Xenopus tropicalis: one gene and its partners. The protein of the gene in region 3 interacts with the protein of the main gene of each other region in a pairwise test. Links are inferred from orthologs where the notes say so. Each region holds a gene or a part of one and is shown on either strand. Other genes may lie near its edges.

Evidence for each region.
Region 1: the proteins of srsf1 (region 3) and nxf1 interact in binary tests that used the Homo sapiens proteins (3 or more experiments, as listed by UniProt). The link is inferred for Xenopus tropicalis from reciprocal best matches to the Homo sapiens genes SRSF1 and NXF1.
Region 2: the proteins of srsf1 (region 3) and lnx1 interact in a two-hybrid assay, tested with the Homo sapiens proteins (3 studies listed by BioGRID and IntAct). The link is inferred for Xenopus tropicalis from reciprocal best matches to the Homo sapiens genes SRSF1 and LNX1.
Region 4: the proteins of srsf1 (region 3) and rnps1 interact in a two-hybrid assay, tested with the Homo sapiens proteins (2 studies listed by BioGRID and IntAct, with this or other methods). The link is inferred for Xenopus tropicalis from reciprocal best matches to the Homo sapiens genes SRSF1 and RNPS1.

Annotation. Positions count from the first base shown.
Region 1 is NC_030680.2:36,514,931-36,519,823, reverse strand, and holds part of nxf1 (nuclear RNA export factor 1), read left to right. Parts: intron 1-263; coding exon 264-368; intron 369-974; coding exon 975-1,055; intron 1,056-1,134; coding exon 1,135-1,204; intron 1,205-1,285; coding exon 1,286-1,374; intron 1,375-4,893.
Region 2 is NC_030677.2:39,761,615-39,766,507, reverse strand, and holds part of lnx1 (E3 ubiquitin-protein ligase LNX), read left to right. Parts: intron 1-1,073; coding exon 1,074-1,321; intron 1,322-2,784; coding exon 2,785-2,946; intron 2,947-4,203; coding exon 4,204-4,406; intron 4,407-4,893.
Region 3 is NC_030678.2:76,102,789-76,108,383, forward strand, and holds the start of srsf1 (serine/arginine-rich splicing factor 1), read left to right. Parts: upstream 1-2,294; 5' UTR 2,295-2,548; coding exon 2,549-2,742; intron 2,743-3,723; coding exon 3,724-3,965; intron 3,966-4,792; coding exon 4,793-4,965; intron 4,966-5,216; coding exon 5,217-5,411; 3' UTR 5,412-5,595. UniProt on the Homo sapiens protein: Plays a role in preventing exon skipping, ensuring the accuracy of splicing and regulating alternative splicing.
Region 4 is NC_030685.2:21,738,622-21,744,060, forward strand, and holds the start of rnps1 (RNA-binding protein with serine-rich domain 1), read left to right. Parts: upstream 1-2,092; 5' UTR 2,093-2,210; coding exon 2,211-2,212; intron 2,213-5,439. Other genes in the region: uncharacterized protein LOC100490582, read right to left, coding at 91-523. UniProt on the Homo sapiens protein: Part of pre- and post-splicing multiprotein mRNP complexes. Auxiliary component of the splicing-dependent multiprotein exon junction complex (EJC) deposited at splice junction on mRNAs.

The DNA of each region.
Region 1 (4,893 bases), on a different chromosome or scaffold from region 3:
GCAGCCCCCTCATAAAGGAACATTGGGGATTGCATAAGTAATGTAAAAGCATCGGGCAAATACTTTTAAGGCAAAAATTATAAATATCATGCAAAGACAATGTTATGTTAGAAATAAAAAAAATAAGTTTAATTTCAGGTGTCAGTATCTCTTTAAGAATGCTACTGCTTAATAGATTTTATCCCTGTGCTACCAGATTAATTTACAAATTTTTTGGGAAGAAGTTACAATAATTTTGGGATGTTTTCTTTCCATCAAAATAGTATCACACTGACCATAACCGGGCTCACTTCTTTGTTGAAGACTCTGCTGCTGCAAAAGCCTTAAAGCAGCTATCTAGGACATTCACAGACAGAGAAAACTTCAAGGTAAGTAGTGATTTTGTTTTTAGGCATTTAAAAGACAATGCTAATAAAGTAGTGGTATATTCAAACATATAGGGGCTGATTTACTTACCCACGAACGGGTCGAATGGAGTCCGATTGCGTTTTTTTCGTAATGATCGGTACTTTGCGATTTTTTCGTATGTTTTTGCGATTTTTTTTGCGTAGCGTTAAAACTTACGCGAAAAGTTGCGCATTTTTCGTAGCGTTAAGTTTTAACGCTACGAAAAATGCGCAACTTTTCGCGTAAGTTTTAACGCTACGAAAAATGCGCAACTTTTTACGCAACTTTCGTAATGGATACGAAAAACTTGCGTTTTTACGCAAAAATCGTATTGGATCCGAAAAATTCGTACAGAATCCGAAAAAATCGCAGAACATACGAAAAAGTCGCAAAATGTTCGTTTTCAAGTCGGAACTTTTCCAATTCGGGTCGGATTCGTGGGTTAGTAAATCAGCCCCATAGAGTAGAGCATTGTGTTACAAAATGTTATCATTGAAATGTTGCAGGTTCCATTTTTTTTTTTTTTTTTTTTACAGCATTTTACTAATACTTTTGTTTTTAAGTTTTTGTTACTCCCCACTCTACAGATCACTATTTTAACACGGCCATGCCCGCCTCCTCAGAACTTTACAAAGGAAATAAAAGATGAAGAGTTAGAACATTTTAAGGTACACATCAATAAATGCATTGACAGCATTAATAGAAATAAATTGTTACTAAATTATAAATTCTTGTTTTCTTGCCTAGAACTGTATGCAGAAGAGATATGATGGTGCACATCAAGCCCTGGATATGAAGGCTGTGCGAAGTGACCCTGGTAAAGCCCCTCTAACAGTCTTTTTAACCCACTTTGCCTATCCTTAAGCAGCATCTTAATGTACTCATCTCTTTACCCTAGATTTAGTCGCCAATAAAGTAGATTTAATCCTGAACAGAAAATGCTACATGACGACAATGTTGCAGATAATTGAGGATAATGTACCAGAGGTAGGCAGTTTTGTTTATAGTACTGTACAATTAATGTCTCCAAAGAAGTTAAGTATTGTAATTACAGAGGAAAAGACTTTTGTTCTGGTCATTTAAACCCTAGCAACCACTTTATGTTTAGGTTCATTACTCTTACTACACTAAAGCATGATCATTATGTTTTAGAAGTCTTAAGATTTTCAGCATGCCTAATAAAAAATTTCTGCAAGTGCTGCACATGTGCACAGCAAAGCCAGATCCCACATACAACACATTTGTGAATGTGTATCATGGCTCAGAAAAAAAGATGGTGATTTAGGACCCCAGAAAAAGAGTAGTTTATGCCTGTAAGGGCTCTGGCACACGGGGAAATTAGTCGCCCGCGACAAAACTCCATGTTCGCGGGTGACTAATCTCCCCGAGTTGCCATGACCCGCCATCCCACCGGCGAACATGTAAGTCGCCGGCGGGAAATCGCGCTGCCGCGTGTGCCATCCCATCGGCGACTTACATGTTCGCCGGTGGGATGGCGGGTCATGGCAACTCGGGGAGATTAGTCGCCCGTGACAAGGGAGATTTGTCGCGGGCGACTAATCTCCCCGTGTGCCAGAGCCCTAAAGCTGTAAAAGGTTATCTCTAAAGAGTTTGGATTCTGATAACCAACAGTCAGACAGATTGTGTACAAATTATAAAAGACTGTTGTTACCCTACCCAGACGTGGTCGACCATCAAAGATAACTCCAACTGCAAGGTGTCTAAGGGCTCTGGCACACAGGGAGATTAGTCGCCGGTGGGATGGCATACGCGGCTGCGCGATTTCACTGAAATCGTGCAACTTTCCCCTCAAGGCAACTTGCGCGATTTCACTGAAATCGCGCCGCCGCGTATGCCATCCCACCGGCGATTTACATTTTCGCCGGTGGGATGGCAATCTGGGGAGATTAGTCGCCCGAGACACAGGAGATTTGTCGCAGGCAACTAATCTCCCCATGTGCCAGAGGTTACAAGAAAGAAACCAGAGTAACTTCTAAGAAACTGAAGGCCTGTATCACATTGTTGAATGTTGGATGTTCATGAGTTCGCCATCAGGAGAACACTGAACAGCAATGGTGTGGTAGCAAAGGGAAAGCTACTGCTTTTTCCCCAAAATATTGCTGACTGTCTACAGTTTGCTTAAGATCATGTGGACAAACCAGAAGGATAATGGAAAAATGTTTTGTGGATGGATGAAGCCAAAAGTTTTTGGCTTAAATGAGGAGCGTTTCATTTGGAGAAAGGAAAAACACTGCATTCCAGCATAAGAACCTTATCTTATTTGTGAAATGTGGTGGGAGTGTTGTGGTTTAGGTCTGTCTTGCCGCATCTGGGCCTGTACTGCTTTCTATCATTGATGGAACAATAAGTTCTGAACTATACCAGAGAATTCTAAAGGAAAATGCCAAGACATCTATGAGTGAACTGAATCTCAAGAGACAGTGGGACATGCAGCAAGACAATGATCCTAAACATACAGATTGTTCTACCAAAGAATGGTTAAAGAAGAATAAAGTGAATTTCTTGAAGTCCTGGTTCAACTTTACATTAACTTCTAGTATGTTATAGAATTTCCTATTCCAAGCAACTTTGCAATTGGTCTTCATTATTTGTCTCTCCAAACTATTTGCCTTCCACTTCTACATTTTTCAGTTGGGGTCACTGACCCCTGACAGCTGAAAACTAAAATTTATTAAAATTGTTACTTTTTATTACTTGTCTTACTATTCAGCCCCTCTCAAATTCATATTCTGGTCTTTAGTTTAAGCCAGTGCCTGGTGGCTAAGACCCTAGCAACCAGATAGCTACTGAAATTCCAGACCAAAGTGTTGCTGAACAAAAAGTTAACTGAAAAATACGTGACCAAGTACAGGTGTGGAATCCCTTATCTGGAAACCCGTTATCCAGAAAGCTCCGAATTACGGAAAGCCCGTCTCTCATAGACTCCATTGTAATCAAATACAGAATTTTAAAACTGATTTCCTTTTTCTCTGTAGTAATAAAACTTTACATTGTAATTGATTCCAATTAAGATATATATATATAATCCTTATTGGATGAAAAACAATCCTATTTGGTTTAATGTTTTATTGATTGTTTAGTAGACTTATGGTATAGAGATCCAAATTACGGAAAGACCCCTTATCCGGAATAATTTTTTCAATTTGTTTCATTAGGTTTTCTTCATCTACTTTTAGAACTTGTTTGAAACTGTGATGTTGTTTTAGGTCACATTCTTATACATATATAGAAAATGTTAAAGGGTTCACAAACTTTCATGCACCACTGTATGTTGTATTCTAGCTACATTAAAAGTTTTATATAAGTTATATGAACCTTTTATTATCAACAAAAATACAATTTAAACAGAACACTCTGTATCTTGAGTGCTTATGCCAATTATATATAGTTTTAGGAAGATTTCTAACTTCTTTTCTTATGTAGATTTTTAAATATGGGTAAAAATGTCTTGCCTTGCCAAACCTTTCCTAAGTAGCTGTTTTTGTAACAACACATCAAGACATTCTTTAAAGTATCTTCTCTTCTACAGATTCTTAGATACAAAAAGCATAATAAATATTAATGTACTAAAATGTAGAGATCCTAAAATGTACTGGTTGCATACAGATTTCATTACCCATCAGCTACTGCAAGAACAACACTTGTCAGATACTTTGAGAATTTTTTAAATATAAGGATTTTACACACTAAGAATAATCAATTCTAATAACTGCCACATATTAGATGAAATGCTGATATTTATTACTTTTTCATAGGACTAGAATCATGCCCACAAAAAGTTGTGGAGTGCAGCTTAATCATTTCATATTTGCTCAGTTTATGGTATTGGTCCAGACAATTTCTCATTGGAAGATATCCACCATATTTCTTTTTTATATCAGAAAGTATAGGAAACCCTGTTTTACTCTCTTAAACCACTGGCATATAACATTCTTGTTCAAATTTCTGAAAAATTACAGCAAAGGGCATTGTCTCCAAAATGTTCTTATGTGCAAAGATTTAATAATAATAAAAATTGCTAAGCATTTTCTGAAATGTTTGAAACCTAGTAGCCAGAGAATTGGCAAACTATGTGGAATGCATAGACAACTAAAACATTGCGCACACAATTTTAGGAGCAAAAATAAGAAGAAAAATCAAGAATAATGCAGAATGCAATAAAATCAGTAAAAACTGTGAAATCCGTCAAAGCAATAAAAACAATTTTCAGCAGGATTGTTGGGCAGAATCCCAGTTCTAACTTGTCTTGATGTGCACAAACAAGCAATTGGTAGAAATGTGAGAAAATGCAACTGCTGTTTTTTATATTAATAAGCTGCTTTGTAGCCATGGGGACAGCAAATCAAGTTGGAGAAAAAGAAAGAAAAGGCACATGTTTACATAGCAGGTCTGAGTCTGAGCTTTCAGAAGGAGCCAGCGCTACACATTAGAACAGCTTTCAGATAACCAATTGTTTCTCCTACTCCCATGTAACTGGAGGAGTCT
Region 2 (4,893 bases), on a different chromosome or scaffold from region 3:
CTGTAGAGTCTGGCAAATGCCAGTGGGGGCTGCTACTAGATGCTGTTGGGCCTGGTGGAGCCTGTTTGGGCCTCTGTGTACTTAAAATTTCAGGGCCTTGTGTCTCAATCCCATTGATTATGGTATTCATGTAGAGACAACCTTGTGGTGGATCCTTAGTTAAAATAGGCCTTCCAGGCCCCATTGTTTTTAGTAAGACTGACCTATCAGCTGTTGTATAACTTTATCTTTCTCACTGGATGCTGGTACAGGTATGGGACCTGTTATCCAAAATGCTCTGGGGTTTTCCAGATAAGGAATCTTACCTTAATTTGGATCTCCATACTTTAAGTCTGCTAAAAATTTGTTTAAACATCACAAAAAGTCAACAGAATGGGGTTTCCCCCAATAAGGATTAATTATATCTTAGATGGGTTTAAGTACAAGGTTCTGTTTTTTATTACAGAAAAAAATAAATCAGTTCTAAAAAATGTAATTATATAATTAAAATGGAGTCTATGGGAGATGGCCTTCCCGTAATTTGAAGCTTTATGGTTTCAGAATAATGGATCCCATACCTTACTGAAGGGTTGTAGGGGGCTACATTTTTGCACTAATCATCTTGTCCTTCTGTTGCCATCTTATCCTACTATAACCATCTTGCACTACTGCCCCTCACTCTTCTTATATATAAAATTACACTTGCTGCTCTACAGCGCCATCAAATTTGTACCTTCTAAAGACAGCCATGTTCCCTTGTGCCCAGTCTTTATACTGCCCTGTGGCTGATCACATGTTCCATGTTTCATGTGCTTGATAAGCAACAAAAAGCAACTCAGGTAAGCAGATTTAAAGTGGGAAGCATCTATCACCTCTTACCACCCTACAGATCTCTACACACTATACCTCTAACAATATTTACATGGGTTAAACTCACAATACCAAAGAGTCTAAGCCAAATACAAAAATATATATGTATATTGCTGTCTAGAAAACAGCAGAAATGCCATGGCACATTTGAAGTTTTGTACTTTATGACAATATGATATGTCATGCTAAAGTTTGTACTGTAATATAATGTTTTTGTCTTCTAGGTGTAAAGGAGCATCACATTATGGCCTTACCAAAGAGCGTAAAAGACGATCACAAGACAGTTCCGCAGACTGCAGCTCCTCTTTGGATCTCACTGTTGCAGCCGTCTCCCCTGAGCTTTCAGCTTCAGCAGCCATAGCCTTAGCAACTGAAGAAACTGGCCAAGACAATCCAGCATTTAGTCCTGCCAAAGGAGAAAGCCACACTGCCTGTGAAGCTGAAGAAAACTGCAGGCTTAACCGGAACAGAAGTAAGGCAATGTACACTGGGAAAAAAACCCTCTTTTTTTAATAATAAACATGGATGCTTTTTGAGATTGCTGTTCAGTAATACAAAAGCTTCTTATAACTGATTATTACACAACTGAGTTATTGAATAGTACTGACAAAACCAAGCATTATATTTCACACTCAATAGGGGGCAACTTGCTCTGTAATGTCCCACAAGTTTTTCCTATTGTACAACCTGCTACCATTATTGGAAGGGCAGTGCCTTTACTAGTTAGTGACTCCTAGAATAGTTCACAAAGTGAGAAATCCTATCACTGGCATTGGCAATGGTGAGTTGTACCTTTGAGATGGCCACACCTCAGTCCCATCTAATAAATCCCTATTTGTATCTATCCTGGTAAGAGTAACTCATAGGTACAAATACGTACAACCAATCAGATTTTGTATTATACTGATAACTGGTGTTACTGTAAGCAGTGCAGTAGCATTTCTGCCCAGAGCTCAAGGGTACTATCTGCAAGGGTGTTTTTGTATGTTCTCCTCATGTCTGTGTGGGTTTCCTATGGGTATTCCAAGTTACCTCCTAAAAACATATAGGCAGGTTATTTGGCCTCTGACTAAATTAACCACACTGTGTGTGTGAATGTGATAGGCACCTTAGATTGTAAGCGTCTCTGGCGCAGCGAGTGATGTGTATGATAAATAAACTCTGTAAAGTGCTGTGGGAATGTGCTGGCGCTATATAAATAACTGGAAAAAAAATAATGAAATACTGCACCTGTGCATGTTTCCAGATTTCTCCACTGGCATATGTTTAAAGGCATAGGTAGTAACCCAGAAGTAACCACTGGAAGTGAGAAAACCACCAGTCATAACATAAAGCTTGTCCCAAGTATGGCTATGTCCCATTATTATGGATTAGAAAAATGTACTGCACTGCAGTTTAGGGCCCCTGATTTTCTTCACTAGGGAGTCTTCCTGTGCCAGCCTAGTGAACTGCAAACATAAGTGGTGCACACAAATTAATTGATTCATTGGGGTTTCAAAAGGATAATATAAGCCCCTATTCAGACTTTAGCTTTGATAAAATAACGTATATTAGATTTTCTGTGTGACTGCGGAAGTTCATACAAAAGTAGAGATACAGCTTCAATCACACATTGAAGTCGCCATCAGATGTCAGTAAAAACTTGATTTTATTCATTCATTCATCTAAAAACAAAAAGCCTGGCGCATTTCATGCGCACTTAATCGTGGTTATGACCTGATTATTTATATTTATTTAACATTTGGTTTATGTTGAATAAGCACCAGCATCTCAAGTCATTACAAGTTATAATTTATGTGCTTGAAACAATTGTTATGTTTTGAACAGTCTAAGAGTGCTTTTCTTATTTATTTGGTTTTGATTCGGTTTGGTTCATTATAGCCAAACACTAGAGAACCACTGGGCTGTTGTAACAGAACTGTTTTCTGTTTTCAGATCGAAACTTTGAGCGTTCCACTGTCAGGAGTCTGTCTTTCAAGAAACTAAATCGAGCATTTAGTGTCCTTCGGAGAACAAAGAGTGGGAGCTCTGTGGTACATGCATCTGACAGAGAGAGAGCAAACCTGCAAAATGCCAACATCGTAGAAGACCCTATGGGTTTGTTTTACTCTACATTTCTCGTCACACAGATTTTTTTTTGTCTTACTCTACATTGTTTGATGTTCATATTTATTTATTAATTAGTGCCCTCTACACTCATGGGCCCCCCTGCAACTGCAGGGTCTGCTTCCTCTGTAGTTATGCCTACCCTAAAAAACATTATGTGGTAAAAATGACCTTCTAGTAGAATCTTTACTATTCACTTTCTACAAAGAATCACACAAGGGGACTCATTTACTTTGCATTTACTTATTGTTAATTAGGGCCAAATCAAAGCGCTAGTGGTTATTATAGTGATAGCATTTTAATACTTTTTACAGCGAAAAAAACTCCATATGAATATAATAAATGCATTTGAGGCACCATGAGCAAAAACATACAGTAAGCCATGCCAAATTTTTGGTGGTGGCATCATGGTCACATGCCTAGGGACCTCTATTCTCTTGTCTCTTTGATTCTTAACTTGTTGCAACTTTGCTGTGTATTTATTGTTATACTTTGTAGTTATCTGTTATTATTTTAATAACCCCCTGTTATATTAATCTATTCTACTGTGCAGCGCTGCGTACATAAGTAATGTTTTATAAATAAAGATATGCATACATACATGTTCATGACCCCAGCTTGCCCACAAGTGTGCTTTGTTTGTAAGACGGTAGCTAGCTGCTCAGTCACACAAAGCATCGGGCTAAAATGGGCAACCTACTTGGTGGTGTCTTCCAGCCTTTATTCATTCATATAGTCACAGTAGTGTCTTTCCATTCACTCCCAGCATTGAGTCATATATATTAGAAGCCAGTTAACCTGCCTAAATGTTTTCAGCAAGGACTCTGGAGCACTTGAAATAATTCCATAGAGACTTTGTGAGAAATGTAGATAGTGCCCCAGTGGCAATCAGACACCAAGACCATAGTACTCAAAAACCGCAATGCTAACCACTTGGCCACCCCAATATATGAGGGGTTTCCAAATGTATATTTTACTAGACAGTAAAAAAAAGCTGGTTTATTCAAAGTATTGCTTTGTATTGAAGCTTTCTTATCTATTGACATGGCAACTTAATTACCAAACTGTCTCATTTATTAGACTTTGTGGTTGGGCATAATTGTCAATTAAAAATGCAATAGGTATGGGCATTTCTACCTATATTAAAGAAGTTTGTATGTTCTCATATTAAAAAAAAAATTCTAGGTCCAACAATGTTCCCTTTAAAGTTTCTAGTGAAGTAATATTTTCCTGTTTGTTTAACCACAGGTCTTCCGAGACAATATCACCTGATTCCAGATGGAGAGATTACCTGTATTAAAATCAATAGGGCAGATCTCAATGAAATCCTTGGAATTAGGATTGTTGGAGGCAATGAGACACCATTGACTCAAATCATTATACAGCACATTTATCAGGATGGTGTAATTGGTCGAGATGGGAGACTTCTTCCAGGAGACATGATATTAAAGGTAAAATGTCAACACATACAGGGAAACTAGGTCAGTGTTACACAGCTCTGGGTTTTAATGAGATCATGGGTTGGGGACTCCTTTTATTTATCCTGTTCCATATGATGGGATCCATCTTGTTTGGGTGAACAAGTTCACTAAAAACTTTGGTTTGTATATAGTTGTACAGGTATATATATCGCTTTTATATAGATATTTATATATGCATAAATGAGATGGGCAACCTAAAAGTGTTCAGATGTTATACTGTTATATGTTATAAGTTTTATGGTGGATACTGGGATCCATCACACGATTGCTAAGCCTCCCATACTTCCTCAAACAGTGAAGTGGCCAAATTCTAAAGAATTAGGGGCATCATTTCTCTGGATATGGGGTTAGTCAGGTGTTTGAATTCAGCTATCCTATTAATCCTTGAGTGCAATGCAACACTGTTATGTCATGAACACAATATCATGCAATATCATGTTCTTTCACTTGTAAATGA
Region 3 (5,595 bases):
ACAATTGTTTCCCTTTTTGGTACCGTTTGAGTGGATATGTTTTAATTTCATTTTTACAACTGTATGGATTTAGATACTAGAACAACAACAAATTCCTTCTTTTGAAACGGATGCCCTTGTGTCTGCTGGAAGGACCTACTGGTAAATAAAGCATTAGAGAGATAATATGGTCCCCTTATATAGTTATACATATATACGGGGATCATAAATGAGAGCGCAATTGCTCTTTTTAATCAGAATTTTTGTTCTTAAGGTTGCCAGAAGCGACACTCCTGTTAACTTGCCCGGCACTACCATCAGAGGCAATTTTTTCAACTTTTCAACGTGCTGCTGCCATGAGGATAGTTAAGAAACTCACCTTTGGTGGCAGCGCCCGGCAAGTTACCAGGGGTGGCAAAAAAAGATCTTAAAAAATAAAAAGTAACAAAGGAAAACTATATCCCCAATCACTGTAGGTCTCTATAAAATGTATTGCATAAACACCCTTGTGTAAAACCCTGCTTCATCTAAATAAACGATTTTTATAAAAATATACTTTATAGTAGTATGTGCTATTGGGTACTCCTAAATAGAAAGTTGCCATTTTAAGAATTAAGGGCCGCCTCCTGTGATCATAGGATTCACAGTGCACACAAACAAGTCAAGGAAAATATGCATGCTGGGCCCCATCAGCCAATTAATGAACAAAGTTCTGCCTTCTTCCTGTTACAGTTAGAGCTGCATTATTTCTGGTCATGTGATCTCTGAGGGCGCACACAGCCCATCACTAAATTGTGGATCAAGGAAAAGGATTTAAAAGGGCAATATTTACTGATATATATATATATATATATATATATATATATATTCCAGTTTGGCGAGATTCTTTAATAGGTCACTCTGCATAATATAAACTATCTGTTGGTTAAGTATTCATTCTGGGGGTATAGTTTTTCTTTAAAGAGATGAAATTCTGAGCGCTATTTCTCTCTCTACAATACCGATGTGGGGGGAAGCATCAACTTGCACACCTATTCATGACAGTACCCCTTGCCCCCTTTGTTCCACTGTCGGAAGTGACCTCTCAAAAGCTATATTAAATTTGTTCAAAGAAATTTTTGTTTGCTAAAAGGCATACATTTTCGAGTATTTTTCTGTTATGGATTTTTTTTACATTCCAGCATCAGTTTCTTAAATACTTTTGCACTTTTTGAAGTGCTTTTCCACTTCAGCCCAGGGTTGCACTCCCTACTCTGTAAAGCGCTGGGCAATATATAAATGTACGTATAACTTTATTTATAAAGCGTTAGAAGGGTACACAGCGCTATACAATCTTACAATATACACAATTACACACAGGGAGGACAACTGTTATAATAAATACAAGAAGTATAAATACACAGATTGAGCGCCATGTGGTGTGAGAGAGTAGGAAGGAGGTCCCTGCCCCATAGAGCTTACAATTTCACTGCCCAATCTAAGCTCGACTAAAATAAAACAAACAAATATGCACAAGGCCCAAACAGGAGTGTAATGTAAGGCATGTATTTATTATCAACACATAAATATTTGTAGAGTGTAAGCTCTTTTGGGCAGGGCCCTCTTCACCTCTTGTATCGGTTATTGATTGCTTTATATGCTACTCTGTATGTCCAATGTATAAAACCCTTTTATTGTACAGCGCTGCAGAATATGTTGGCGCTTTATAAATAAATGTTAATAATAATAAATAGGACAAAGTCTTCCCAACCTTGTTTGCAATATTACCCTGACAGCAGTTACAAAGTATTGAATTGCAGTGCTACTTTAATGGGGAAACCATTGAGAGTGGACCACAGAGACCTTATCCGCACACCCTAACACTCCAAAAAAAATTTTGTACGGTGCACACTGCTAGAGGGATCGGCACCCTCCAAATACACTGTAACAACAAAAAAAGCAATTGGCACTCAGGACTACAAACAAGGGTAAAACCCTTTTAAAAGTTTTATTGCGGAAACCATTGAGAGCACACCTGTAGTTAATGATTTTCATACTCATAATGAATGTCACTGCAGATAAAGAGCTAACAGCCTCCGACCATGGTTCTATAATACAAAACCACCTAACAACAGCCATGGCGCACGACGAGTAACAAAACATTTTTCAAACAACACCCACTGCCCTCCCCCACTATGGGCGCGCATTTCCTGGACGGACGTGACGTCAAGCACAGGGTATAGAAAGCCCCCCTATCACATACAGAGAAGCAGCTTGAGCTCAGGTTTCTAGTATAAATATTACCTCAGTGAATAGATTCTTTCTTAGGGCCGTAATTGGCACATAGCTTTAGGAACATTGCATCGTGAAGACGTGGAAACGAGAGGCTCTATATTGTCTCGGCGTAAGATTACCTTTGTTGAGGACGCACCACTGCGAGTTCTTAGTATCCTTGCGCGGCTAAAGCAAGGGAGGAAGTAACTCCGCCATCTTGTCCAAGCTCTGAAGCGCGCATCGAAGGTCTGTTTGGCTTCCAACTCCATTTCTTTTTCTTCTCAATCCGTCTCCCTTTAAATCCATCAAGCTGGATATGTCAGGGGGCGGCGTGATTAGGGGGCCGGCGGGTAACAACGATTGCCGTATCTATGTTGGCAATCTGCCGCCAGACATCCGCACCAAGGACATTGAGGACGTTTTCTACAAGTATGGGGCCATTCGGGACATAGACCTAAAGAACCGCAGAGGGGGCCCGCCATTCGCCTTTGTGGAATTCGAAGATCCAAGGTAATCCCTGTGTAAATGTTTTTGCTTTGGCCTATCGTGCTAATGGGCTCGCCTAGTGTTAACTGGTGAATAACTACAATATACCTTGAGTGTATCCGGGGGCGGGGTGGTGGTACTGCGACTTTATTTCTGCTGTAGTTGATAAAATGTCGTCCGCTGTTGTATTAGAGTTTATATATAGTCGAGGAGGCCAGTGAGGGGGGGAATTAGGCCTGATTATGGTGCAGGTTATGTTTCAACATCGGTGCGTTGTATCATTATTCAAGTTAATATATTTAGCCTATAATCCCTACAGAGTGGCGCCAGAATGAGGTATTATACACTCATTGTGTATCGCCATTAGCACGTGTAAATCCCTATTTATTACCGCCTTTAGGCAACAGCGCCCCCTGTGTGTGGGACCGAATAGCGCTTCCGCTCTTTGTTCTGCAGCCCTGCACCATGCTTACTAGTGTGTTAAGGGAAGGCATTCTAACAAGCAAATGTGCTTTGGGTTATTTATTGACCTGTTTGCTTTAAAGCCGCTGCCTCATGTCTCTGCTATAAAGCATGCAATTAGGCTCACTGCACTTATTCAACCAGAACTCCTAACACCTTTTATGTAGGCTGCTTGGAGAAGTGCAGTATTGATATTCAATAGCAACACTACAAAATGAATAATGGGTGTTTAAGCATCTGCACTATATGCACATATGTAAAGTATTGGTGAAAATGTACTGTTTAAATGTAAATACAAAAGCTTTTGTGTAGTCATGGGGGCAGCCATTCATGTCTAAAAGACTGTTAAGATACAATGGCTTGCTTACACAGAATTAATCTGGGGTCATGTGTCGTTTGTAGCTCTATACATGACTGTAATAAAGTTTTCTCATTTACAGCCAAGAAAGTTTTCCAGGATATGTAATTACCATTGTAGGTGAATATTCTCTTCTTAACCTGGCATTCTTTAACTAAAGCAATTCTTACCTTGGTTTCTCTTAGGGATGCAGAAGATGCTGTCTATGGTAGAGATGGCTATGATTATGATGGCTATCGCTTGCGTGTTGAGTTTCCAAGAAGTGGGCGAGGAGCTGGAGGCAGAGGTGGTGGTGGTGGTGGCGGCGGCGGAGGAGGAGGTGGTGGAGGCGGCGGCGGCGGTGGTGGTGGTGGCGGCGGAGGAGGAGCTCCCCGAGGGAGATATGGACCTCCATCAAGACGTTCAGAATACAGAGTGGTTGTGTCAGGTAAGAGTTCTATCAGGTGGCAGGTTTAAAAACCAAAGTAAAAACATCAGTTGCAAAGTTTTAGAGGAATAATGCCCATCAGGTTTTTACAAGCAGCGTTATTTCACATGTATACAATAATGAGTTGGACACAGTTATGCATACATTCTAAAGTATTATGCATTCTATACCAGTGGATATGACTGACCATTAATGTATACAAACAGAACTACTAGTATATCTCCCTTTAACTTTAGTTCAGTTAACGGCTTGCATCAGCTTAACAGAACTTAAGCAACTCTCTGCTTGGTCCTTGCAAGGTAGATAATTGTATTACAGTTCACACACAATTCTCCTGCATAATGGACTTCAAACCATGCAGTCACAAGAAAAGGGAAGGATAGGGTATTGTCTTCAAACAAGATATTAAATGGCCCTGTCTGGTTGCTCAGGATGCTATCTGGACTATGAAAACTTGCACATGTTGCTATGTTACCTTCAGTTCAAACATGAAGCACTGCAACAAATTTACCTTTAAAACGTACTAAATGTAAACCCCTGAGTTATTTTAGCAGAATTGGGCTGTTGTGAGTCTCGCTGGAAGCATGGTTCAGATTAAAACAATGGGTTTTCCCCAGGATGCTGTGTTCATTTAAGCAATACAGCTGTCTTTGGACTGTTTTAATGCTCCATGCATTGCTGTATAACCAGCATAGATACCTACTCTTGGAATTTTGGCACTAGAAGTTCATAAACCATTTTAAATTTCCACCATTTGCATGCTTTTAATTATGTATAAAACTGCTTTTGATACCAAATTTGACACTCTGATAACTTTATATTTCTAGGGTTGCCTCCAAGTGGCAGCTGGCAGGATTTAAAGGATCACATGCGTGAAGCAGGTGATGTATGTTATGCCGATGTGTTCCGAGATGGTACTGGAGTTGTGGAGTTTGTGAGGAAAGAAGATATGACATATGCAGTACGGAAGCTGGATAACACTAAATTTAGGTCTCATGAGGTAAATACTAAATTGTTTAGTAGTTTGTGTTAAGTTTTTCTCTACCTATTGTGACTAGCAGTATCTGTTTTACATGACCTCTGAAGCCAATAGTGATGTTGGCCAAATACATAAGGTGCCAAAAGATATGGGAATTTTAAATTTTCTGTATAATGTACTATAGTTGCTTGACTTTTATCGTTCTTTGATGTGCCTAAGTTCATAAGATATTGAAGATTGGCTTGTTCAAATCCAGCTTCTCTCATTGATAGGGAGAGACTGCCTACATTCGTGTTAAGGTAGATGGTCCAAGAAGTCCCAGCTATGGAAGATCGCGGTCACGCAGCCGCAGTCGTAGCAGGAGCCGTAGTAGAAGCAACAGTCGCAGCCGAAGTTACTCTCCAAGAAGAAGCCGTGGTTCTCCACGCTACTCTCCTCGCCACAGCAGATCTCGCTCTCGTACATAAATGAAAAACACGTGATGCTTTTTGTAGACCCTCATGTTGTATACAGTTTTCTTTACTTTCATTTTTTTAAGTCACTGTTTTATTCAATTTTGCCGAAGTGTTGAATCCTTTGTGTAGTATTGCCATCAGACTGGCTCCTTAATGCCCTCATTTCCCTCATGCCTAAAACTGTATTTTAACTGCT
Region 4 (5,439 bases), on a different chromosome or scaffold from region 3:
GAAAGATTAACTTTTAGGAACTCATGATGAACCACTGCAAGCCAAAATGCAAAATGGCATCAATGGGTACTACAGAGATATTGCACTCACACGTTTCTGCTGGAGCCTGTCCTTGGGATATCAGTCTCTGGTTGCTGGAAGATGCCTGAAAGGCATGGTTACCTTTGGATAGAGAGGTCACACTCACTATCTTGATACCTTCTTCCTGGCTGACCACTTGCGGTACCCTGTGTCCAGCATCAAGTTTAGTCTCTGTACTGGCTGGCTTCTGCCCAGTCTCCTGATAGGGAGTCCAAGGCTGGCGGTCTGCCCATGGCTGTGCTCTTGGGGGAATGCTTTGGGTCTGGTTGGCAGAGGATGACTTTTCAGGTTCAATGTTCTTTCTTTTAAGGAAGAGATAGATGGCTTGTGGTGTCACCTTAATATTATCCAACTCCAGAACTTTCTTTATTTTACGAAAGCTTAACCCGGCTTTCCTCAAGATCACAATCCTGTGCTTCGCATTCTCATCCAATCGCCCCATATTTCTAGCATTCAGCAAACTTTACGGGGCTGAAATAGATTGAAACCACATCCGTCACAAAGTTTTGCGATTAATCAAAAGTCTCAGTGCACTGATCTCAATTAAGATCCACCCACAATCCAATCAAATGTGGATGAAAAATATTGCATTAATAACCAGTGGTGCTCAATCTGGGTTCTAAAGCCAGTGGTGGTGCTAAATCTTTGGGCAGCAGAACCACTCGGCCAAGCTGATTCCCTTTAATAAACCAGTCGCTGGATTCTGATTGGTGGAAGGTGATGCAGTTATATTCCACCATGACCTTAAATTGGATCCTTGTTGTATTCGGTTTCAGAAGTTCTGGCCCCAAGATATTCCACCTGCTAAACAGGTACTTTTATTTCATTGCTTGCAACTAATGATCTGAAGAAAACAGGAGGTTGGTGTTAGAGTCATGAATAAAACCAATATCATTTCTCACTACATACATTAGGACACAAGTAATTCTGACCCCTACCCATGATAAAACTGCCCAGTCCTTCTTTATACGCAGTCATCAGAGATACAGACACCCACTCCTCATATGGGAACATACCTTTCACTTCCAACTAACAGACATCAGGGCACCTACCTCTCACCTCCTCCTAATACATCCACAGAACCTGCTTCTCTCCCCACCTAATAAAAATAGGTCAGGGGGCTCATTAAAGGTGATGCTGATACCAATCAAACCCTTCAGGCAGGCAATTCTGTGTTGTGAGTACAGTAACTGACCCTTTAAGTTCTCTGTGGATTTGAGTGTAGCATTAAAAGGAATATGCACCTTATTTATAAGAGGGGAAATATTCCCTTTATGAGAGGACAGATCAGAACAGCTTCCCTCCAAACCTTAGGGACCTTCTGGAAGGTTCAATGAAACCTTACTGAATCCTGTACAATGTATACAAACCTTATGCTTGCCCTAGGCGACCTAAGTAAGGTTTATGGATGCCCTTTATAACTCAGGCAAACCTAAGGGTTGCCCTGGGCAACTCTAGCGGGACTTATGGTGGCCTTGACAACTCATGCAAACCCCCTAGACAGCCGGGTTTATGGGGGTTCCCAACAACTCAAGCAAACCTTATGGGGAGCTAGACTAGTTGCACTCTTTTTTCCCAAAGGTAAAGGGTCACCCTTGCTTTTTGTCACACTCACCACCTTATGGGCCCCAAAAGTGCGACGAGACACGTAAAGCAATCCTCCCATCCGGAAGAACTAACATCCCTGCACCTCTCCTAACACAGGCCACACTTGCCTTTATAGCGGCTGTCCCTCGCACCTATCTATATACCGACGCGTAGTTGTACTTCTGGCACAGTTTCTTTATAACCATATCGCACTTAGTGTTTGTTTACGGAGCAAAACAGGAAGCAGCATAGGTTTCCGCTCCGTGCAATAGACATACACGCACACATATTAACCCCGTCACTCCTAGAAATGACAATTACTAGTAATGTTCCTGCTGCAACTCGGGACTATCCTACTTCTTTAAAAGGCTGAATCGCATTTGCGTCCGCTGTTGTGCCACGCCCACGTCCAGCAATGTGTGACGTCAGCGCCAAGGCGACCAGAGTCGCTTATCTTTTGTTTCAAGATGGCGGCGACACGTCACAACGAACGCGACGGTTTATCTGATCTTAGAAGGGACAGGCAACGAAAGAGCGGCAAAATGTAAGCGGAGCTCCATAATCTTTTTCCATCCTGCAGCGCTGCTTTCCGTACGAGTTGGATATTGGTGGGACGGTGCAGGGGAAGCATGGCGGGTTCTATTCACCGATGTATTGATTAAGAGAGAGCAGGGTGGTGTTTGGGATTGGCCCCGAACGCAGTACCGAGGATTTATGGGGGTATAGGCCGCAGCTGATTGGATACACATATCGCTGCGTCTATACCTTCCTGGGGAGTTGTTTCTTCTGCACACTATTCCCTTTGTATATGGGTTTGGGCGATTTCTTCTTTATGTAAAATGAATTCTTTCTGAGCTTGCACTGGTTAAATTGTTGTGTTTATGTAAGGGGACAACAAAAATGGCTGCCACTGCTTGACTGCCCCCGTCTAGGGAAGGCTGCCTTGTATTTCTCTCTGGGTATATTCCCTCAATGTGTATATGCTTTGCACTGGATTTTTTCATTCATTGATATGTGCTGCTGCCCTGTGGGTTTGCTTACGTTTTGTATTGGGGCACCATTAGTTTTAGTGCTTTAATATATGTATTAAATGTCTGGAAAAACCTTGGGGTTCTTGGATCTCCAGTAATTCTGTATTTATATAACAGCAACATTATACTCCATTTACATCAGAACCTGCCCCAGTCTAAGGGTTACATATAAACTCCTTGTAGATAGTGACCCCCAGCTGGAATTGAACATTAGGACCCCAGCGCTGCCCAAACGTACTATGCTCTACCCCATTGTTATTAAAGGAACAGTAACACCAAAAAAATTAAAGTTTTTTTTTAAAGTAATTATAATATAATGTATTGTTGCCCTGCACTGGTAAAAATTGTGTTTGCTACAGTAACACTACTATAGTTTATATAAATAAGCTGCTGTGTAGCCATGGGGGCAGCCATTAAAGTTGGAAAAAAGGAGAAAAGGCACAGGTTACATAGCAGATAACAGATAAGTTCTGTAGAATACAATAGTTTATCTGTTATCTCCTATGTGCCTGTGCCTTTTCTCCTTTGAATGGCTGCCCCCGTGGCTAAACAGCAGCTTTGTTTATATAAATTTCTGAGGCAAACACACCAGTTGTACCAGTGCAGGGCAGCAGTATATTTTATTATTATTTTTATACATTTTCATTTTTTGGTGTTACTGTTCCTTTAAGTGCCACAGTTGCATGGATATAGGTGTTATAGGGCCACCATGGCATTTTAAATCCCCCCTTCCTTGTTTTCTAATTGTTCAACTTATCAGGATAAAGGTTTCAAGTGTTGCCTGCAAATTAATGAGGAGGGATTAAGGGCTCTGGTACACGGGGAGATTAGTCGCCCGCGGCAAAACTCCCTGCTCGCGGGCGACTAATCTCCCCGAGTTGCCTTCCCTCTGCCATCCCACCGGCGAACATGTAAGTCGCCGGCGGGATGGCAGACGCGGCGGCGCGATTTCGCGCAAATCGCCGAAAAAGACTCGCGAGGCTTTTTCGGCGATTTCCCGAAATCGCCTCGCCGGTGTAAGTCGCCGGTGGGATGGCAGAGGGAAGGCAACTCGGGGAGATTAGTCGCCCGCGAGCAGGGAGTTTTGCCGCGGGCGACTAATCTCCCCGTGTACCAGAGCCCTTAAGGAGAGATACAATACAAGGTGGTGGCCATAGCTATGTTGTACATATATGCTTTGAGGTTGGGGAGAGTCTGAACCACACTGACCTGCGTGTTTCCAGTACCCATAATAAAGCCTCCATCTGCGTTTACACAGACCAACATAATTTAACTTTTAATCGCTGTAATAACCGGTACATGTTACTCCCACTTGCATTTTTCAGCTGTTTGACCCTGTATCACCCTTACAGGAACATTCTAAAAAAAAAAAAGCAGTTGCGCACCAGATGAAGTGCTCAGCTGTACGCGGCTTAAAGCGGAAGTCAGCGTTTTATTGTAAAGGTCTGATTGGTTGCTATGGGTAACATCACCACTGAAGTTTGTCTCCAGGGGTAATAAGTACGCCCTTAAGTGATTCTCCAGAATGGCCGTCCTGCTCATAATTCAGTAGGCAAGTGTGCACTGCATTGGCAAGCAGGGTACTCAGTGCCCAAGAACCCCCAATACCCAGTTGCACCAATGCTGTAGAAGGTTTGGAGATCAGCAAAGGAGAGATTTTCATCAGGAGTGCAGCACTGCTGGCTGGGTACTGGCTCTTAAGGCACAAACCCCTATAAGAAGGCACTTTGGTTCCCAGAAGCAGCCACATAATACAGCACTGACACTCCACTAAGCACTGGAAGGCATTATTTTTCATGGGAGGAATCGGGTTTCTTGTGCTTCAGGCTGCTCTAGGTTGGATAATATAGTTATTATTAGTTGCCTTGAAAGTGCCATCTCCAGGATATATGGTACCCCCACTCCAGTGAATATAATCACTTACCTGATACTCTGGGCCAGACATCTGTGTGCTGAAGAGTGCACCAGCCTGGGGCTTAAGAAAAGATTGCAGTGTGGCACTCTTACAGATGTACCCTGGGCCAGTGCGTTTTTCAGCAAACAGGAGCACTCGCCTGGGGTATTAGCAAAGCGTTGGCAATTACTGGAGTGCACCTAACATTTGGCACCCCCCAGTGATTATACATTTCCTTCTCCTTTAATCCCATGCACCCCACCAGTTCTTTAGCCCTACCATCCTAGCGTATCACCTGGAAGCACATTCCCAGAGCTGCCTTTTACTCGCCCGTGATAGATCTCTGTTATCGAGGGCATCTAACCACTCTGAAAATGCCTTTCCACTGGCAACAATAGGAGTTTCCGGTGGAAAGGCCTTTGCGTCGCTTTGGTTTTCTGAGCTTGCCTGCAGGAGGAAACTCTGCACAACTTCAGAAAACCAAAGCAATGTGAAGGCCTTTCCACCAGCGATTCCTGTTTGTGCCAGTGGAATGGTATTTCGGAGCCATTAGTTGTCCCCGGTAGCAGGGATTTCTAACTGTCTGCTAACACATTTCATGGGACATCAGCCTAATGTCACTAGGCATTAGAGTGTTTCTCATCACAGCATGCTGTATATGATTAATGAACTGCATCTGAGCAGCAAGATGGTTTTTCTTGGGCCAGTATCAGCCGTCTGTTCTTGGCCAAGTTTGTTTGATTAGACAGATATCAATTGGAGGGCTAGAAAATCCTGTCTGGACTATATCTGGCTGTGGGTGTGGTGCTGTCCTGGAAGGGGTGCACGGGCTCCCTATGTGGCATG